Arabidopsis thaliana: one gene and its partners. The protein of the gene in region 2 interacts with the protein of the main gene of each other region in a pairwise test. Each region holds a gene or a part of one and is shown on either strand. Other genes may lie near its edges.

Region 1 (7,823 bases), about 22 Mb from region 2:
ATCATTAGACTACAATCAATTTGTTTAGAATATATTTGTGTTGCGCTCATAACGATTCTTTTCAATATATATTGTTTGATTAAAGCTTTTAACAAAGTACAGTTTGCTTTCTAAATTATTTTTAACACGTATCCAGTTTTTTAAAAATATATAAAAATATATTCTTCACACCTATCATTTTTTATAAATAAAATATTTTTAACATTTAAAGATATATAAGATATTTCTAATAGTATAATTTATTTTTAATACTTATCATGTTTCTTAAATGGTTTGAACGCTTCGTTTCATTAGTTTATCCAACCTACCTCAGTTATGATATTACACTTTAGTAAAATAAAAAAAAACTGGTTATAAACTTAAAATATTATGCTTTGCTCGTATTAAAGAATTTCAGTACTTGTATATCGTTTTTTTAATTATTATTATGATTTATGACCTCGCGATTCGTGATGGTTAGTAGTAGACTAGTCGTAGTGGACAACTACTGTAAGAAAAAAAACTAAAAATAGATAGACACACACGCTAAATTAAATAAATCGTAAATCACGATTACATATTTATGTTTGTACTTGAAAATGTTATCGCTTTACGTGTGGTGATGGTGAGACAACAGTGTTTGTGTTTGGACGGGATAGATGTCAAATTACTCAAACGTGCGACTCTAAATTACACAAACTCTCATTTATTGCCCATCCTCCATCGATATCTTCACCCCTCTAATATATTTTAAAAATGTTATTTATAACTTCAACAATACACATTCGGTTTCATTTACAATTAATCCTTGCGTTATTATTACTTCTAAGCTATAGTATCTTGTACTTCCTTCCCCTGCTATTATTTAAACGGAAAGAATCCAGCTAATTCCGATCCACCTGCTCCTAGTAGCAATCTATCTATAAACAAACAAAACTAAAGTATAAATTATCACGAACATCTTAACAATAATAGTCAATGCAAGTGGTTCTTGTGTATACAAAGAATTAATAGGAACTACTATCCACATCCTTACGTTTACATTTTTCACAACCAATCATGCACTAAATTAACCTCTAATGAAAAAGTTAAAAATAAAGAATAATATTATCAAAGAATAATGATAATGTTCAGCAACATGTTGGACCAAGAAATGTTCAAACAATACTATAATATTGAAATATTTAGTAGTATTAGTTTTGTTCTTGTTTTTTTTATATGAGGAACATCAGCCATATCGTATAAATCGTGATAAACCGAGTTTATAAATCATATTTCGTATCTCGCCGAGAAGAAAGACGACGTAGCATCTTTACGAGTTGAACATTTCTCCATCACGTGATGTTCGATGAGTTAACGCATCTCAAGAGCAATTGGCTCTTCAATGTCATATCCGTAAATATTAGTCAAACTTGAGGGCAATGACTCAATATAAAAAGCTTTGTCGTGCCACGAGGGATCTGGAGACAAGTCTGACACATTGAATGAAACTCTAGCCGTTAGATCTCCGTCCTCCGCGCCATCTGACAAAATCGACGGTTTTCCAGATAGGTGTAAAACTCATCGCGAAGGAGTGGATCACACCTCTGTGGAGTACAGCTGGCAACTAATATTCCGAGCCGATAACGTCGAGAAATGTAGCCGATCAAGTCGTAGTTATAAGCAGTTCTACTTATCATTCCTGCTTATCGCAGTTAGCTTTTCTTAGAGTGATAGCTAACTTATTTTATCAGCATCCAATTATCTGTCACCTTCTCTTATTAAAATCTCCATTTCTGCAAGTTTTAATGTCCGTATATATATCTCGAAGAGAGAGAAAATCCCTTTTTCTCTAGATAGAGAGAGAGAGAGAGAGAGAGAAGAAGAAGCTTTTTAATTTAGTTTTGCTTTCTTTCAAGTTTCCTTTTTTCGATAGAGAGAAAAAGAGTCCAAAAATCAATCCATCACCTCTTTCGTCTCTGTGGTCTTCTTCTTCTTCTTCATCGATCTCTCTCTCTTTATGGTGAGTAAGCTTCACGCTTCTTTCTTCTACCTTTGTTGCCTCTGTTAATGGAATCTAGCTGTTTCGAGTTTTATTGTATATATTTTTTTATCCTTTTGCCCAAACTTTTTTCTGGGTTTTGCTTTATTTTTTCATCCCCCTTTCTGATAATTAATTTGCTTTTTTCATGTAGTAAAAAAAGATTCTTTTTTTAAGCTATTAAATTCACATCTTCCAATTCCAGGAAGACCTAAATTTCCTCTTTTTTTTGCCGTTATCTGCAGAGATGCGAAGTTTCTGGATAATTATTCAGATATAGGTTCCAAGTTTTTAGCTTTCATTTCTAACTTCTCTTTTCGTGTTTTTTAATTTCCATAATCTGGAAACTCAGATTTGAGCTCATTTCGGCCATTGTTTATATTGCAGATCTGGTGATAGTTTGGTTAGTTGTTGTGCATCTGAGTTAGAAAAAAGTCTTTTAAGGAAGTGAGAGAAAACATGTCTTCTCTTAGTAGAGAGCTCGTTTTCTTGATCTTACAGTTTCTCGATGAAGAGAAGTTTAAAGAGACTGTTCACAAGTATGTCTCTTTTGCTCTGTAGATTTCCTTGGATCTAATTTACCAACTGACCTGTTTAGCTCTTGTGTTGGTTAATGCATTATTGCTTTGTCATGTTCAGGCTTGAACAAGAATCTGGGTTTTTCTTCAATATGAAGTATTTTGAGGATGAGGTTCACAATGGAAATTGGGATGAGGTTGAGAAGTATCTCTCTGGTTTCACTAAAGTAGATGATAATAGATACTCTATGAAGATATTCTTCGAGATAAGAAAGCAGAAGTATCTCGAGGCTTTGGATAAGTAAGTCATGGTTGGGGATTTGTTTTTTTTTTTTCCTTTCAGTGAGATAGCAAAAGAAAAAGAGTCTGATTTGTGATTGACCTTGGTGACTTTTTTGTTGGTAGGCATGATCGTCCCAAGGCTGTGGATATACTAGTGAAGGATTTGAAAGTGTTTTCAACTTTTAATGAGGAGCTTTTCAAGGAAATAACACAGCTCTTGACATTGGAGAACTTCCGGTAATGTTATATTGGATTAATGTAGTGTCCAAAGCCTTTGTTTTCTTAGCCGTAGTTCAAAAGAAAGATTGATGCAGAGTATTAAGTGTTTCGAGTTTGATCAACTTTTAGGGAGAATGAACAGTTATCCAAGTATGGGGACACCAAGTCTGCAAGAGCGATCATGTTGGTGGAACTCAAAAAGCTGATTGAGGCGAATCCTTTATTCCGTGATAAATTGCAGTTCCCTACTCTTAGAAATTCAAGGCTGAGGACTTTGATCAACCAGAGGTTTATTGCTTTGTCCCTTAATCTTTTTGTCTTATTCACTTCAAGTTGTTGTTGGCATATTAATTCATTCTATCTTTTGTTACTGCATAACTCGCAGCTTAAATTGGCAACACCAGCTTTGTAAAAATCCAAGGCCAAATCCAGATATCAAGACTCTTTTTGTGGATCACTCTTGTGGCCCTCCAAATGGCGCACGAGCTCCATCTCCTGTGAACAATCCACTGCTTGGAGGGATACCAAAGGCTGGAGGATTTCCTCCTTTAGGCGCACACGGGGTAATTTAGTTTCTATCATTTTTATTTATGTTTTCCTGAGGCCAAGTGTTTGATTGTCTCTATGTTTCCAGCCATTTCAACCAACGGCGTCACCTGTTCCAACACCTCTTGCTGGTTGGATGTCTAGTCCATCCTCTGTCCCACATCCAGCTGTCTCAGCAGGAGCCATTGCACTTGGTGGTCCATCAATCCCAGGTACTACTTGCTTATCAAATGTGTATGTTTCTTCAGACACACTTTGTGTGATCTATGCAATTTGCTTACAATGGAACTCCTTTCCTATCTTTGGTATAGCGGCGTTGAAGCACCCGAGAACTCCTCCAACTAATGCTTCTTTAGACTACCCGTCAGCAGATTCTGAACATGTCTCAAAAAGAACAAGACCAATGGGAATCTCTGACGAGGTGAATCTAGGCGTGAACATGTTACCGATGTCATTTTCAGGGCAGGCCCATGGTCATTCTCCGGCTTTCAAAGCACCTGACGACTTGCCCAAGACAGTTGCGAGAACTTTGAGTCAGGGCTCATCTCCCATGAGCATGGATTTCCATCCAATTAAACAGACCCTGCTTCTAGGTGTGTTTCTTGCTCTCTGTATGTGCTTCTGTGTAATAATAATAATAATAATCATCAGCAATTTTCTAAATTCGTTTGAATTGTTGTACCAGTTGGTACAAATGTAGGTGATATCGGGCTGTGGGAAGTTGGTTCTCGCGAAAGATTAGTACAGAAGACGTTCAAAGTCTGGGATTTGAGTAAATGTTCAATGCCCTTGCAGGTGCCTATGCATAGCAACAACAAAATGTTAACTTTTATATATGTTATGAATCTACAGTGACTGAATTAGTTGTATCTTCAGGCTGCTCTGGTGAAAGAACCTGTCGTTTCTGTCAACCGTGTGATATGGAGCCCTGACGGTTCCTTGTTTGGTAAAGAACTCGCCTTTAAATTTATATCTGCACATGAATGCAACTTTATAAGTCACCAAACGTTCTGAATTGCAGGAGTTGCTTACTCGAGACATATTGTACAACTATACTCTTATCACGGAGGTGAAGACATGAGGCAACACCTTGAGGTCTCGTACCATTCACAAGCCTCTCTCTTTAACAATCGTTTTTTCCCTTGGGGATTTTCTTGTAATATTGTGATTATTTCAGATTGATGCTCATGTTGGTGGTGTGAATGATATTTCCTTCTCGACTCCAAACAAGCAACTATGTGTAATAACTTGTGGTGATGACAAAACCATCAAGGTTTGGGACGCTGCAACAGGTGTCAAAAGGCATACTTTTGAAGGCCATGAAGCTCCTGTTTATTCCGTTTGTCCTCATTACAAGGAAAACATTCAGGTAAGCTTAGCTAACCGTTGATCTCCCTCCCTTCTATTAAATGTTTCAGTTTTTTGATGTGTTGTATTTTTCCTGTCATCAAGTTCATATTTTCAACAGCTCTTGATGGGAAAATTAAGGCTTGGTTGTATGATAATATGGGTTCCCGAGTTGACTATGATGCACCTGGTCGCTGGTGTACTACAATGGCTTATAGTGCCGATGGTACTAGGCTATTCTCTTGTGGGACGAGTAAAGATGGAGAGTCTTTCATTGTTGAGTGGAATGAAAGCGAAGGAGCTGTTAAAAGAACTTATCAAGGATTCCACAAGCGTTCTCTAGGTGTTGTGCAGTTTGATACAACTAAAAACCGTTATCTAGCTGCGGGTGATGATTTCTCCATCAAGTTCTGGGATATGGACGCTGTACAGCTTTTAACTGCCATTGATGGCGATGGAGGCCTCCAGGTACATGAACAAAAAATGCCTAACTAGAAAAGTTTTCAGATATTCTTTTGGAGTTTCTTCTTAACTTGCGCTTCTAATATATTTAAACTAGGCAAGCCCGCGTATCCGGTTCAACAAGGAAGGCTCTCTCCTGGCCGTGTCTGGCAACGAGAATGTGATCAAGATTATGGCAAACTCAGATGGTCTAAGGCTATTGCACACTTTTGAGAACATATCATCTGAATCCTCCAAGGTACTTAAAATCTAAGCTAAGCTTTAAATTACTTACACCCAATTGAAAGATTTAGTCAACACTTCATTCTACATTTGCAGCCTGCAATAAACAGCATAGCAGCGGCAGCGGCAGCTGCTGCAACAAGTGCTGGTCACGCAGATCGATCAGCCAATGTAGTTTCCATCCAAGGAATGGTAAGAAATACAATTCTTTTTTGTTCTTTCACTCACTTTATTTTATCTTTCTATTATTCATCACTTGCCTTTTTAGAATGGAGATTCGCGGAATATGGTGGATGTGAAGCCAGTGATCACAGAAGAATCAAATGATAAGTCTAAGATATGGAAGCTTACTGAAGTCAGCGAGCCTTCTCAATGCAGGTCACTGAGACTCCCTGAGAATCTGAGAGTAGCCAAGGTATATAAAATATACATTTTCTGAGCCATGTATAGGGTATATATATATAGCTGTTCTTTTTTCTGACAATAAAACCAATGACTTTTGGCAGATATCAAGATTGATTTTCACGAATTCGGGAAATGCTATTTTGGCTCTGGCATCAAACGCAATTCATCTTCTATGGAAATGGCAGCGGAATGAGCGCAACGCAACTGGAAAGGTGAAATTGAGACTCTTTCTTAGTCAAATAATGATAAGTGTCACTGATCTCTACATCTCGATTTTCCGTGTAGGCGACAGCTTCTTTACCGCCTCAGCAGTGGCAACCAGCTAGTGGGATCCTCATGACTAACGATGTTGCTGAAACCAATCCCGAGGAAGCTGTACCTTGTTTTGCTTTATCCAAGAATGATTCATATGTAATGTCAGCCTCCGGAGGAAAGATATCCTTATTTAACATGATGACGTTTAAGGTAATGGGGACACATAGATGCTGATCTTTTGATGTTCTGTGTATGCAATTTGACTGACTGTTCTTGGCTAATAATTTGCAGACAATGGCGACTTTCATGCCCCCACCACCGGCTGCTACTTTTCTTGCTTTTCATCCTCAAGACAACAATATCATCGCTATTGGGATGGATGATAGCACGATTCAGATTTATAATGTCCGTGTTGATGAGGTAATGCATCAAAACTCAAGAGAAGAATGTAGAAAAGAAGATGAAGTGTTTTGTTTGTTAATATGATGGCCATCATGTTCCTTGTTTGCTCCTGCAGGTGAAGAGTAAGCTTAAAGGTCATTCAAAGAGAATAACTGGTCTTGCCTTCTCCAACGTATTAAACGTGTTGGTTTCGTCTGGAGCAGATGCACAGGTTCCCGCCTTAGACCATTTTTTTTTTTTTTTTTGAGAATCGATGAAGAAAAGATCAATAGTCTTTGAAATGTTTTTGTTTCAGCTTTGTGTTTGGAACACAGATGGATGGGAAAAGCAGAGAAGCAAGGTTTTGCCACTTCCACAGGGAAGACCAAACAGTGCACCTTCAGATACGCGTGTTCAGTTCCATCAAGATCAAGCTCACTTCCTCGTTGTGCACGAGACGCAACTTGCTATATACGAAACTACCAAGCTCGAATGCATGAAACAGGTATTTTATATTTATAGGCCGCTCTCTCTAAGATCTGCAATTTATTGCATTTGAAAGATGATTAATGATTGCAATGTTTCAGTGGGCTGTTCGAGAATCATTAGCTCCAATCACTCATGCCACATTCTCATGCGATAGCCAATTGGTCTACGCGAGTTTTATGGATGCAACAGTTTGTGTATTTAGCTCTGCAAATCTACGGCTGCGTTGCCGGGTCAACCCTTCTGCGTATCTACCAGCTAGTCTCAGGTAAACAGAGGAATCTTGAAATTTACCCAAAAAAACAGAGGAATCTTTAAATTTCGGAAAGAACGTTTCTAAACATCAATCGGTTAGTTGTTTATATATCATAAAGCTCCTCTTGTTGACTTGTGCAGCAATTCAAACGTACATCCACTAGTGATTGCTGCACATCCGCAAGAACCAAACATGTTTGCAGTTGGTCTCTCAGACGGGGGAGTGCACATATTCGAACCGCTCGAGTCTGAAGGTAAATGGGGAGTCGCTCCACCGGCTGAGAACGGGTCGGCTAGCGGTGCACCAACTGCACCTTCCGTTGGAGCCTCTGCATCTGATCAGCCTCAGAGATGATCTGATCCGAGAGCCACCTACCTCTCTGATTCCCTTTCTTCTATTTAAAAGTCTTTTCTTTCTTATTTTTTTGGTAGAAAAATTTATGACC
Region 2 (5,054 bases):
TACAAGAGGAGCATGTGAAGAAGCTGCAACATTTTGGTGTTCACATCCAAAGTATCTGTCGGTGTCAAAGAACCAATTTGTTTTAGTCATTGTTGTAAAACGGACCTACATTCGTAGTCGTTACCCCTAAATTTTAAACAAATTTTATGTTTAGTATTGTCATACGTCAATGCAAATGAGTTGTATAATCTTTCAATATTGTCTTCTAATTTTATTTTATTTTCTGATAAGTACCATTTTATTTATGAAGATAACGACTGTACAGAGAATTCCCACCACAAGCTCAAGCTGCAAGACCAAACTTACCCGAAGACAACCTGTTACAGAGACACGCTAGCTCGTAACACTAGATAGAAAGGAAATCTTACCCAGCTCAAAGATTAAGTCTGAAGCACACCTAACCCAAAACTGTTGACACCATCTTGATTATGTCCATATATGAACTTAGGTCTCAAAACAACAACTATTTATTTGATAAATGTTGATATACTCTATTGCTTAAAGGAGAGTCCAACTTCGAGTGGTGACCGGAAGGTTTCGCCGTTGCCTTTTCTTTTTTGCCGTTAACGTTGGTTTGGTAGTCTTAGTAGAATCTTCTCACAATCTTGATTTTTGCATATCAAATCTGTTAGAATATGACATTCCCTTATTTTGGACATGATCAAATATGTGATCGAAACCCAACTTGCGCTTCCAACAATGTAGATAATCTTCATGTGAAATAGCGAATATTATTTGGTCTTTTGTATGTATTAGAAAATGACAATGGATCTATATTGTGTAATTAAATACACACATACATGTGTATATATTAGACTCAAGTTGTTGTTCAACTCTTGAAATCATATGATATTGAAGAGTCTTCAAAGTTCAAAGTATTATGTTCTCATTTTGCAAGTTGCGATAAATAATTCAATAAAAATGATTTTTTCCCTTGGCGCGATCGTCTACGACATTTTGTTTTAAATTCTTTTTTGGTACTCTTTGGCATTGCCTCTTATTCAAATAAAATTCAACGCTCGACTTCATTGAACAAAACGATTAAAAGATTTTATTATTATTATTGTTATAGAAATAATATTTAACTGAGCAAGTAACAAAATTCATATTAGGACTAAACAGAAATCGTTAACCTTTTACCAACATACAAAACCACAAATTCTAATATTAATTACACTCAGTTTTTGTAATTAAAAACAGAAAAGAAAATTAGGCCTATGAAGTATGAACGCTATAATATCCTTTAGCAAAGAGGGAAAAAAAACGCAAATCATGCATGAAATAAGGTTGGTACCGCCAAGATTCCGACACGTGTTGACATCCTAAACGCACATAACAATACTTCACGTGTCCTTAAACTTTGTCGGGGATAAGTAATTGACACCATTCATCGATAAATATCCACTCACAAGTCGTACTGTTGCTAATGGATCCCACATATTAAATTCGTATTAGCCATCGCAGCCGACGCGAGACTTAACTCCGTCAGAACTCCGTTAGACTATAGCGTTTGCAAATGCCCTCATTTACGCCCTTTAATAACGAATATCCTAACCACCACTAAACGAATTACCTCAGAAGGGTAAATTAGTATTTAACAGAAACTCTTGGGACCCGAATGAATTAAATGGGTTAACGCCTTTATGTAATGTCGCCGTCAACTTACAACAGTTTCTTCACGGCTTGTGCAATGAAAACGTGCCGGAACTTGTAACGAACATTGTAGTTTGATTTTTGTAATCAACCATAGGAATAAATCATTTTTTCCGCATATAATTTATTTCCCTATTTCTATTCGTGACAAAACATTTGAGGATATAGGAAATTAATAGCCTATAATATGTTTGACCATAAAAAGAATTTCTTCTTCTTGAACCATCATAAGAAAAATGTGTGTTTAGTCTATTGATCAGTTTTGTGTTCAAAAAAAAAAAAAAAATGTCTATCGATCAGTTAGGTGTAAAAAAAAAAGTTACAAAACTCGTGACAAAAACATTCTATATTGGACACACATCACTGTCACTTCAGACTAAATAAAAAAAAAGAACACGTTATTTCGTTTTCTTTATTTATTCGGGAGAGGTTAAAAGCCACAGAAACTTATTGGCTAGAATTGGTTATTTATAACAACAACACATGAGCAAAAAGCTCAAAACATCTACATACTCTTTGGAATCCTCGATTTTTTGTACGTGTAAAGAAGTCACACAAGAAAATCTTGGGTTGTTGTAATCTTCATCACACTAGTATGTCAACGGGACAAGCGCCGGAGAAGTCCAATTTTTCTCAGAGATGTAGTCTGCTCAGCCGGTACTTGAAGGAGAAGGGAAGTTTTGGGAATATTAATATGGGGTTGGCTCGAAAATCCGATCTTGAACTCGCCGGAAAATTCGATCTCAAAGGTATTTATTTATTTTTCCCTATCTATTCCGACGGCCGCCGCCTATAAAGACCAAAGTTTATATCATATACTTTTAGTATCCTGCTTCGTTGATTATTAGCATAAAGTTTAACTATATATTTTTTTTGTTGAAATGCAAAATTTTAAATCATTTTTTTCTTTTCTTTTCTTTAAACTTAAGCATGGTATTATTTTGGACAGCTTAAGTATATTAAAGTTAGAGATTCTGTGAAGTTTTTTAAAAAACGTAATAAACATGTAATTTGATTTTGATAAATTTTAATCGGTTTGCAATTTCTGTTCTAATTTGTTTTAGGACAACAAAATGTGATTAAGAAGGTAGAGACCTCAGAAACTAGACCGTTCAAGTTGATTCAGAAGTTTTCTATTGGTGAGGCCTCTACTTCTACCGAAGACAAAGCCATATATATTGATCTCAGGTACTGTACACACAAACTTCATATGTATTCGAACTCCTAAAGTGTTTGTTTTCACATTTTGTAGCAATTGAATTAGAGAAAGAACTACCGGTTATAGATGTATGGACTATGGAGTTTGACTAATTGTAAAAATGGGTTTGATTTGATTTTAGTGAACCGGCAAAAGTAGCACCGGAGTCTGGAAATTCACAGTTGACCATATTCTTTGGAGGAAAAGTTATGGTTTTCAACGAGTTTCCTGAAGACAAAGCTAAGGAGATAATGGAAGTAGCTAAAGAAGCGAATCATGTTGCTGTTGATTCTAAGAACAGTCAGAGTCACATGAATCTTGACAAAAGCAACGTGGTGATTCCCGATCTTAACGAGCCAACGAGTTCCGGGAACAATGAAGATCAAGAAACTGGGCAGCAACATCAGGTTGTGGAACGCATTGCAAGAAGAGCTTCTCTTCATCGATTCTTTGCTAAACGAAAAGACAGGTAAACTAAACTCCGAAACTGTTTTGTGCTTGGTTATGCTTTTTCTAGGCCGCTCGTCAAAATGTATGCATAGATTAGGATCAAAGTTTCTTAAAAAAGTTATATGTAAAAATAGCTAATAATTACCATATTAAGACTTATTCGAGTTATTCTAGGAATCCCACATCGGATTAGAAGCGTATTACCAATCAAGTTTAAGTTGAACATTCATGAAATTGAACATAGGGTGGTCCTAGTATGTTTATGAATTATGATTCCTAGAGTAAGATTTCGAGATGTGACTCAAGTGTCATCATTTATAAAGAACATGTAAAAAATCTTACAAGTTACAATGAAATTCGAGATGGGACCTAGAGTAGTATATAAGAGATATGAGTCCATCATCTATGTGTCCTTGATCTAGGAAAATTATTAGTAAAATGTCGAGAAATTTCTAGTTAAAAAACACTAACTAAGAGTTCTTTGTAAATCAAAACTTCAATATCTACTTTGTCTTAAATGTTGATTAATTGTTTTGATTTCAGGGCTGTGGCTAGAGCTCCATATCAAGTGAACCAACACGGTAGTCATCTTCCTCCCAAGCCAGAGATGGTTGCTCCATCGATAAAGTCAGGCCAATCGTCGCAACACATTGCAACTCCTCCAAAACCAAAGGCCCATAACCATATGCCGATGGAGGTGGACAAGAAAGAAGGACAATCTTCCAAAAACCTTGAACTCAAGCTTTAGGGCGTATAAAATGCACGATCGAGTTCACGTTTCTAGTTTTCACTTATTTAGGATTTGAACCCAAATACCCTTTTATATTTTCTTCCATTACTTTTGACCAATTTAAGTTATTTATAGTACTGTATTACGTAGCTAGTATTTATATTTCAAAACATACATATTTTGATACTTGTTTTTTAGATTCTTTAATTAAAATTGTCATCTGGATTACCCTTTATCGAAATTTTTTAATCACCTGATATAATCTCACCAGTGATGGATTTGCGTTGTTAGTAATTTTTCTAAGTGGCAAAAGTATATTAACCTATAATAGGTTTCAAAGATATACATATAATGTTTCTATCAAAGATATTAGTATAATATTTTACCACATGATCGAAATCTCACCAGTTATGGATTTGCATTGAATGTTCTAGCGATTGGGCTGGACCGTCTCAGGAACCCAACCTTAATGAAAAAACATCGTCTCATTGATTTTAGGTCGTTAAGTCTGTTTTGCCCTTGTCTTATCCCGTAATTACGAAATTAGCCTTCTACCATTTCCTCTGTCTGCTTCTCTCTTGCCGTTTTCTAAAACCCTAAAAATTTCTGTTGAACCCCAAACATTGAAGTTTATCTTTCTTTTTCATTGTTCGATCTCAAAGCACAGAGATTGCTTAAACCTAACTGTCTCAGTTCTTTTAAAAACAGTCATCTCTCACAAAACTCTCTTAACCCTCTTCATATGCTTTGAGAAAAAATGTCAAAGATAAAGCCTTTGAGTAAATCATCGCAGGACTTGAGTCTTCTCACATCTGATATCGCATCATTCGCTTCTTCTATTGGCTTAGCTTCTGCTCTTCCTTCTTCGGGTTTCAACGACACTGATTTCCGAAAACCAGCTAAATCCAAAACCCAGAAACGGAAAAAGCCTAAGAAGGATCAGCAACACAAGGATGAAGATGAAGAAGGAGAGCCAAAATCGAACATTGGGAATGAAAAGGGAAAAGATTTTGGAGCGAGGAA
Region 3 (5,182 bases), about 27 Mb from region 2:
TTGTTGTCTCAATATATAACAAATCATGGAAGACTAGTAGCTAAGTTTTTGTTAGAACGATTAATTATCATTTAAGAGAAGAAAAAAAAACAATCTAACATGTATCTCTCTCTTTGTGTGACACTTTTATGATCTGCATGCTTTGTTCATGTTCTTTTTAATCGGTTTATTAGGACTGAGTTAGCTTAGGAAATCTAGAAAGAAACATCGCATTACCCTTTGACTCACAATAGAGAAACATATTAAAAACGTATTTACTGCAATCTAAACATCAAGCGGTTCCATGGTCTAGCGGTTAGGACACTAGACTCTGAATCTAGTAACCCGAGTTCAAGTCTCGGTGGAACCTATTTTTATTTTTGTTACATTTTCCACCTGTTTCTCTTCTTAAAACTTTTGTTTTCCCCAGGCGATAACGGTTTATGTTAGTTTGAACACTAAAAATGGTGTGCACGAACATCATAGTGTTTCCTCTTGTTCACAAGCAATGAATCAGCTGTGTTTTGTTGTTCTTGAGCAATTCCGTGACCAATCCATAACACTTATCTGACTTGTCGATTAAACACTTCACCAAATCCAACACATAGGACATATCAGAATGAATAAAGACTGATTCATGAGCTAGTCTACGACTTTAACAGATACAACATTATCGTTAATTACTTAATTCCCAGCTTTGTCCACTGTAAAACGAGTAAATGATAATGTCTACTTTTGTCAATAAAACTTCTAAAATCCTAGTTTGGAGGATTCTTACAGGTATATAACCAAAAAAAGGTAAAAACAAAAGATACCTAGAAGAAAAAAAGAACCATTCAAAACCGGTTCTTGATTACAAACTTACTTCCACCTTCTTCTGTCTCTCAAAAGGCTATCTACCTGATGATGTTCTTGACTGAACTGAATTTGTTTGCTCTCTAGACAAGGCCGATATCAGCTTCTCTTTCGTTAATTCTTCAGATTTGACTACAAACGTATGCAACACTGTGTCCTGAGAAACTTCCAGGTTCGAGTTTATCACTTCTACTTTACTCTCTTCAAACGCATGGAAGATTCTGGAAGCCGGATGAGACTCCAACGGACAGTTTATCCTCACTGTGACATCTTCACCTGAGGTTTGAACATTTATATCTGAATCCAAGCTGATAGGTGGATTTGAGCTATACCCTAACCTCTCTCTCTCTGCTTCCATGACCTTTAGCTTCGCGTGAAGCTCGTTTATATAAGAAACCGCGTCTCCCAACAAGGACGCTTTGTCCATCTTGGATATGTTGGGAACAACGGATCTCAGAGCGTAAAACCTCTGGTTAAGCTTCTCACGCCTCTGCCTCTCTGCTTCTACATGGTTCAAAGCTTCCGCTCTTCCGTTGGCAGGTCTCCTTCCGCGTTTTCTTGGTCTGTTGTTACCAGATTCATCAGCACCCACTGCATCTGCCCATTCCCCTCCTCCTTCTCCATCTGAATTATTCTCTGAAGCCCTTGAACTCGCAGCAGAGAAATCTATCTGCATTTGAGCAGGAGGAAGCAGCCTCTGCGATGATTGCTGCAAAGGTAAAAACTTGAACTCATCCGTGCTTGGAACTTCCTTCACGTTGATTGGCCTCGTGTAGTTCTCAGGTTGAACCCAAGTAGGACTCAGAAGAGTGTTGTTGTTGGTGCCTGGGTTCGAAAACATAAACCTGTTCCCATTATTCGGATAAGCATCTAATCTCTTGGGAGCTCTATCATCCATTTTTCTAACCGTGAGTTTCTCTCTAAACTGTCTATGCTGTTGCTGTTGCGGTGGTTGTTGTTGTTGTTGTTGGTGATGCTGATGATGTTGAAGAAACCCTGAATTGTGCAAATCCTTGCCGAATATCTTCGTTCTGTTATCATCAATCTTTTCAGCTACAGTAACAGGTAAAGCAACAGCTCTAACCGGAGGCAAACTACTGGTAAACAATGATCTTATAGACAAGATTGAGTCTTCACTTTCAGGCAAACATGAAGTTGAGCCTAACTCAACAACACCAAGATCAGTAGGAACCAAAACAACAGTCTGAATGCCAGCAGATTTAGCAAGAAACGATCTAACGCAATAATCAGAACCCGAATTGACGACATCGGATAACCAAACAGGTTTAGCAGAGGCAAAACACTTGCCTGGACCACCTTCACCTCGAGGGAATGAGAAATACATAGAAGAAAGAAGAAACATCTCAGTGTCAGTAACTCTATCTAGTCCTAAAGCACAGTTCTCTTCTTCTGAGCCACCAAACAAATCATGAAGCTTTTGCAATACTCTCTTTCTCATAGTCTGATGCGTTTCTTCTTCTCTTCCCATACTTAGAATCCTAACGATCTCTGATTTCTCTCCTTCTTTAGGCTCTCTGCAATATCCATCGCCCCAACAGAGAACCAAATCTCCGGCCTTTGACCTGGAAATCTGCCAGAAAATGGCGTAGTTCCAAGAGAAATTAGAAGCGTTGGGTCTCTCGACGAGATCCGAGAGCTTGTTCTGCAGATTCTCGTCGCTTCCTAGAGTCATCAAGAGATTAGCATTGGAAACAGAGTTGGAAAGCAAGTAATCGAGAGCTCGTTTGCCCAGTAATGACGCAACAATCGCTTTATCGTCCTCGTTCCACACTAGGCGACCAATATTCATCTCTGCTTTCTTTTCTTTTGTTGTTTGGATCCCAACAAAAAGGAAAGACTTTTAAGAAACCCAGATCTTCAGAAATCGATTCTTAAGTCAAATGATAGGGTTTAGAAGTGTGACCCAGATGCAAATATACGGCGGAGTATAACAGTTTTGCATGGAACACCCAGAGATCTCAGATCTTGCCCCTATTTTCTTTAACAACAATTAAATGACAAAAATCAAACTCCACCAACAGAAAATGAGGAATTGAGAAGAATATATTTTTACCAGTAAAGAAGATTTGAATCAAGTCTCTTCCACCGAGATTTTCTCCTCAAAATCAGATTTTTGAGAATCCGACCCAAAAAAAAACACAAATTTTAAATCTCCCAAACCCCACCAAAATGGACAAACAAATTACCTAAATTCCCCGAAAAAGAACCCTAAGAATCCAGAAAATAAAAAAAGATGTATCAGTTTCGCTGTATCGGCTCCCTGTTTTGTCGCCGTGGCCAATTGAATGAATTCAAGGAAGAGAGAGAGTCCGACGCATGTTCTTCGTGCTCTTTTTTATTAAAAGACCAAACCCCAACAAACAAAACAAAAAACAAAACAAAAAGACTTTCATCTGAACCATGGTTAGCTACTTAACTACACAATTGAGTTTAGAAACTTAAACCGGGTCTGGTTCGATTTAGTCTTTGTCTCGAGTCTTTGATACACGACGATTGAAAACCCCTTAGATTATGTCATGGTTTTTGTCAATAATTGATTGACATAATTTTCAATTATGGGTTTTGATTAATTAAAAATTTGCAACAGATCTATCTCAACTGGTGTAGATCTAAACAAATACTATCTGACAACTCGAGATTAGATTCTCATGTTCATGGAAATAACTAAAGGGGAAACCAAACCCAAATTTAGAAGTTTGCTTTCAATTTTTAAAATTTTTGTTTACATAATTGCAAAGTATGCCAACTAAGACCGGTGGTCAAGCACCGGGAATTTTGACCAAATCAATTCACATTCAAGTTAGGCTTAAATATTCGGTTTTTGTTGTGTTTTGTTTTGTTGCAAAGACTAAAGAGTTGTTCCTTAAGTTTCAAATGCTTTCAGAATTATACAAAATAAAAGGCTTATTTTAGTTTAGATCCTTGATTATTATTTTTGGTAATATTATTGATGGTGGTTCTACAACGGGAGTAAATAATTTTTTTAAAAACAAAACAAAAAAACAAATTACTAAATAACTTGATAAATGTTGACAAAACAATTCAACTCCTTTAGAAGAAAGGAAACGCCAAGTCGATAGAGAGGAGGGCGTGAAAAGCACGTGAAGTTCACGTGGATTTAGGAGAGATGACCAGAATGAGAAGAACGTGAGATGCATTTAATTTTCTTTGGATCTCTTTTTCTTTTTAATTTCATTTTCAAATGCGCCTGCACAGCTCTGCACTTTCTCTTCTGTAACGTTTTTTTTTTCTCTTTCTCTTTTTGTTTATTCTCTCGCAACCACAATTGAATTGTAATATATTTATAGCTTTCACTCTTTAAGTCATAAAATTATCATCAAAATATAAACTACGGCTCTGCGAAAATGAATATACAATGACTATATTATTTTGGAAAAATCTTTAACAAACGATAAAGTTAAAACAAAAAATTAGTATATATAGTAATTATGGAAAATGAAGTCACGAGTGGGTATAATATATGTATGGCGGTGAGAAACACACAGCAAAAAGTGGGGACCGCGTGATTCACGTGTTTAAACTATCCTTTATTCGAGACGTTTGGGTCCCATTCCCATCTAAGTCAAACAACGACGTCGACTTACAATATCTCCAAGTCGTCAAGAATATAATATGGGCCGATATTACAATACTGGTTTTCTATGGAATTCTTGTAATGTTGGGCCACATATGTGCTAGGTCAAACGTGATATCAGCCTTTTTCCCAAACCTTAATAATGCCCCCCATCTATCCCTTATCTAGCAATCAGAATTAGAATGGGCTGTTCAACGGACTCAGTCTTGAATTCTTAAATCTCAATCTTATCATATATTTCATTGGTTTTGTTTTACCACAACAAATCGGCCTATTAGTCCAGTTAACTCTATTGTAAGAGTTGATTTAATCCCGGATAAAGTAGTGCCGGTTCTTGGTGAACTTATTCTGAATGCCACTAAACCTATCGCTTTGTTTAAATTTGTACTAACAATATATCAAGTATTCATTTATCTTCAATAATGATCCAAATTGGTTTGATTTTCACACGTGACTGTAAACTCTAGCTTCAGAAACATACTTGCAAGTTGAAGTTGTAACAATAGTTTTTCCTTAATTTTGTTACCTTATAAAAAAAAGAAAATCCCATTTTGGCGTTTATAGTTGATATATTCATGTTACAATGAATTCCGTGTTTAACGTCAACAAAATCGTCACCTTTTTGGTAACAACCAAAAAAAACACAAATCATAAGATGACTACTTTAATCTACCAACAACTCACGAAAAGGAAAAAAGAACCGACCAAAACTTAAAGCTCATCGTATGAACA

Evidence for each region. The genes of interacting proteins can lie anywhere in the genome.
Region 1: the proteins of JAZ6 (region 2) and TPL interact in a two-hybrid assay, tested with the Arabidopsis thaliana proteins (one study listed by BioGRID).
Region 3: the proteins of JAZ6 (region 2) and AT1G01260 interact in binary tests that used the Arabidopsis thaliana proteins (3 or more experiments, as listed by UniProt).

The regions. Positions count from the first base shown.
Region 1 is NC_003070.9:5,414,995-5,422,817, reverse strand, and holds the start of TPL (Transducin family protein / WD-40 repeat family protein), read left to right. Parts: upstream 1-1,784; 5' UTR 1,785-1,981; exon of another isoform or gene 1,982-2,244; 5' UTR 2,245-2,279; exon of another isoform or gene 2,280-2,386; 5' UTR 2,387-2,458; coding exon 2,459-2,538; intron 2,539-2,638; coding exon 2,639-2,818; intron 2,819-2,922; coding exon 2,923-3,036; intron 3,037-3,147; coding exon 3,148-3,306; intron 3,307-3,403; coding exon 3,404-3,581; intron 3,582-3,652; coding exon 3,653-3,776; intron 3,777-3,875; coding exon 3,876-4,157; intron 4,158-4,249; coding exon 4,250-4,359; intron 4,360-4,440; coding exon 4,441-4,510; intron 4,511-4,585; coding exon 4,586-4,659; intron 4,660-4,741; coding exon 4,742-4,933; intron 4,934-5,016; coding exon 5,017-5,379; intron 5,380-5,470; coding exon 5,471-5,611; intron 5,612-5,691; coding exon 5,692-5,787; intron 5,788-5,863; coding exon 5,864-6,010; intron 6,011-6,101; coding exon 6,102-6,212; intron 6,213-6,285; coding exon 6,286-6,465; intron 6,466-6,546; and 10 more. UniProt on the Arabidopsis thaliana protein: Transcriptional corepressor. May repress the expression of root-promoting genes in the top half of the embryo to allow proper differentiation of the shoot pole during the transition stage of embryogenesis. Regulates the expression of PLT1 and PLT2.
Region 2 is NC_003070.9:27,273,331-27,278,384, reverse strand, and holds JAZ6 (jasmonate-zim-domain protein 6), read left to right. Parts: upstream 1-1,822; 5' UTR 1,823-2,248; coding exon 2,249-2,402; intron 2,403-2,717; coding exon 2,718-2,841; intron 2,842-2,993; coding exon 2,994-3,320; coding exon of another isoform or gene 3,321-3,324; exon of another isoform or gene 3,325-3,844; coding exon 3,845-4,049; 3' UTR 4,050-4,417; downstream 4,418-5,054. Other genes in the region: EDA25 (CCAAT-binding factor), read left to right, coding at 4,789-5,054. UniProt on the Arabidopsis thaliana protein: Repressor of jasmonate responses.
Region 3 is NC_003070.9:107,057-112,238, reverse strand, and holds AT1G01260 (basic helix-loop-helix (bHLH) DNA-binding superfamily protein), read right to left. Parts: upstream 3,294-5,182; 5' UTR 2,909-3,293; exon of another isoform or gene 2,834-2,908; 5' UTR 2,645-2,833; coding exon 872-2,644; 3' UTR 540-871; downstream 1-539.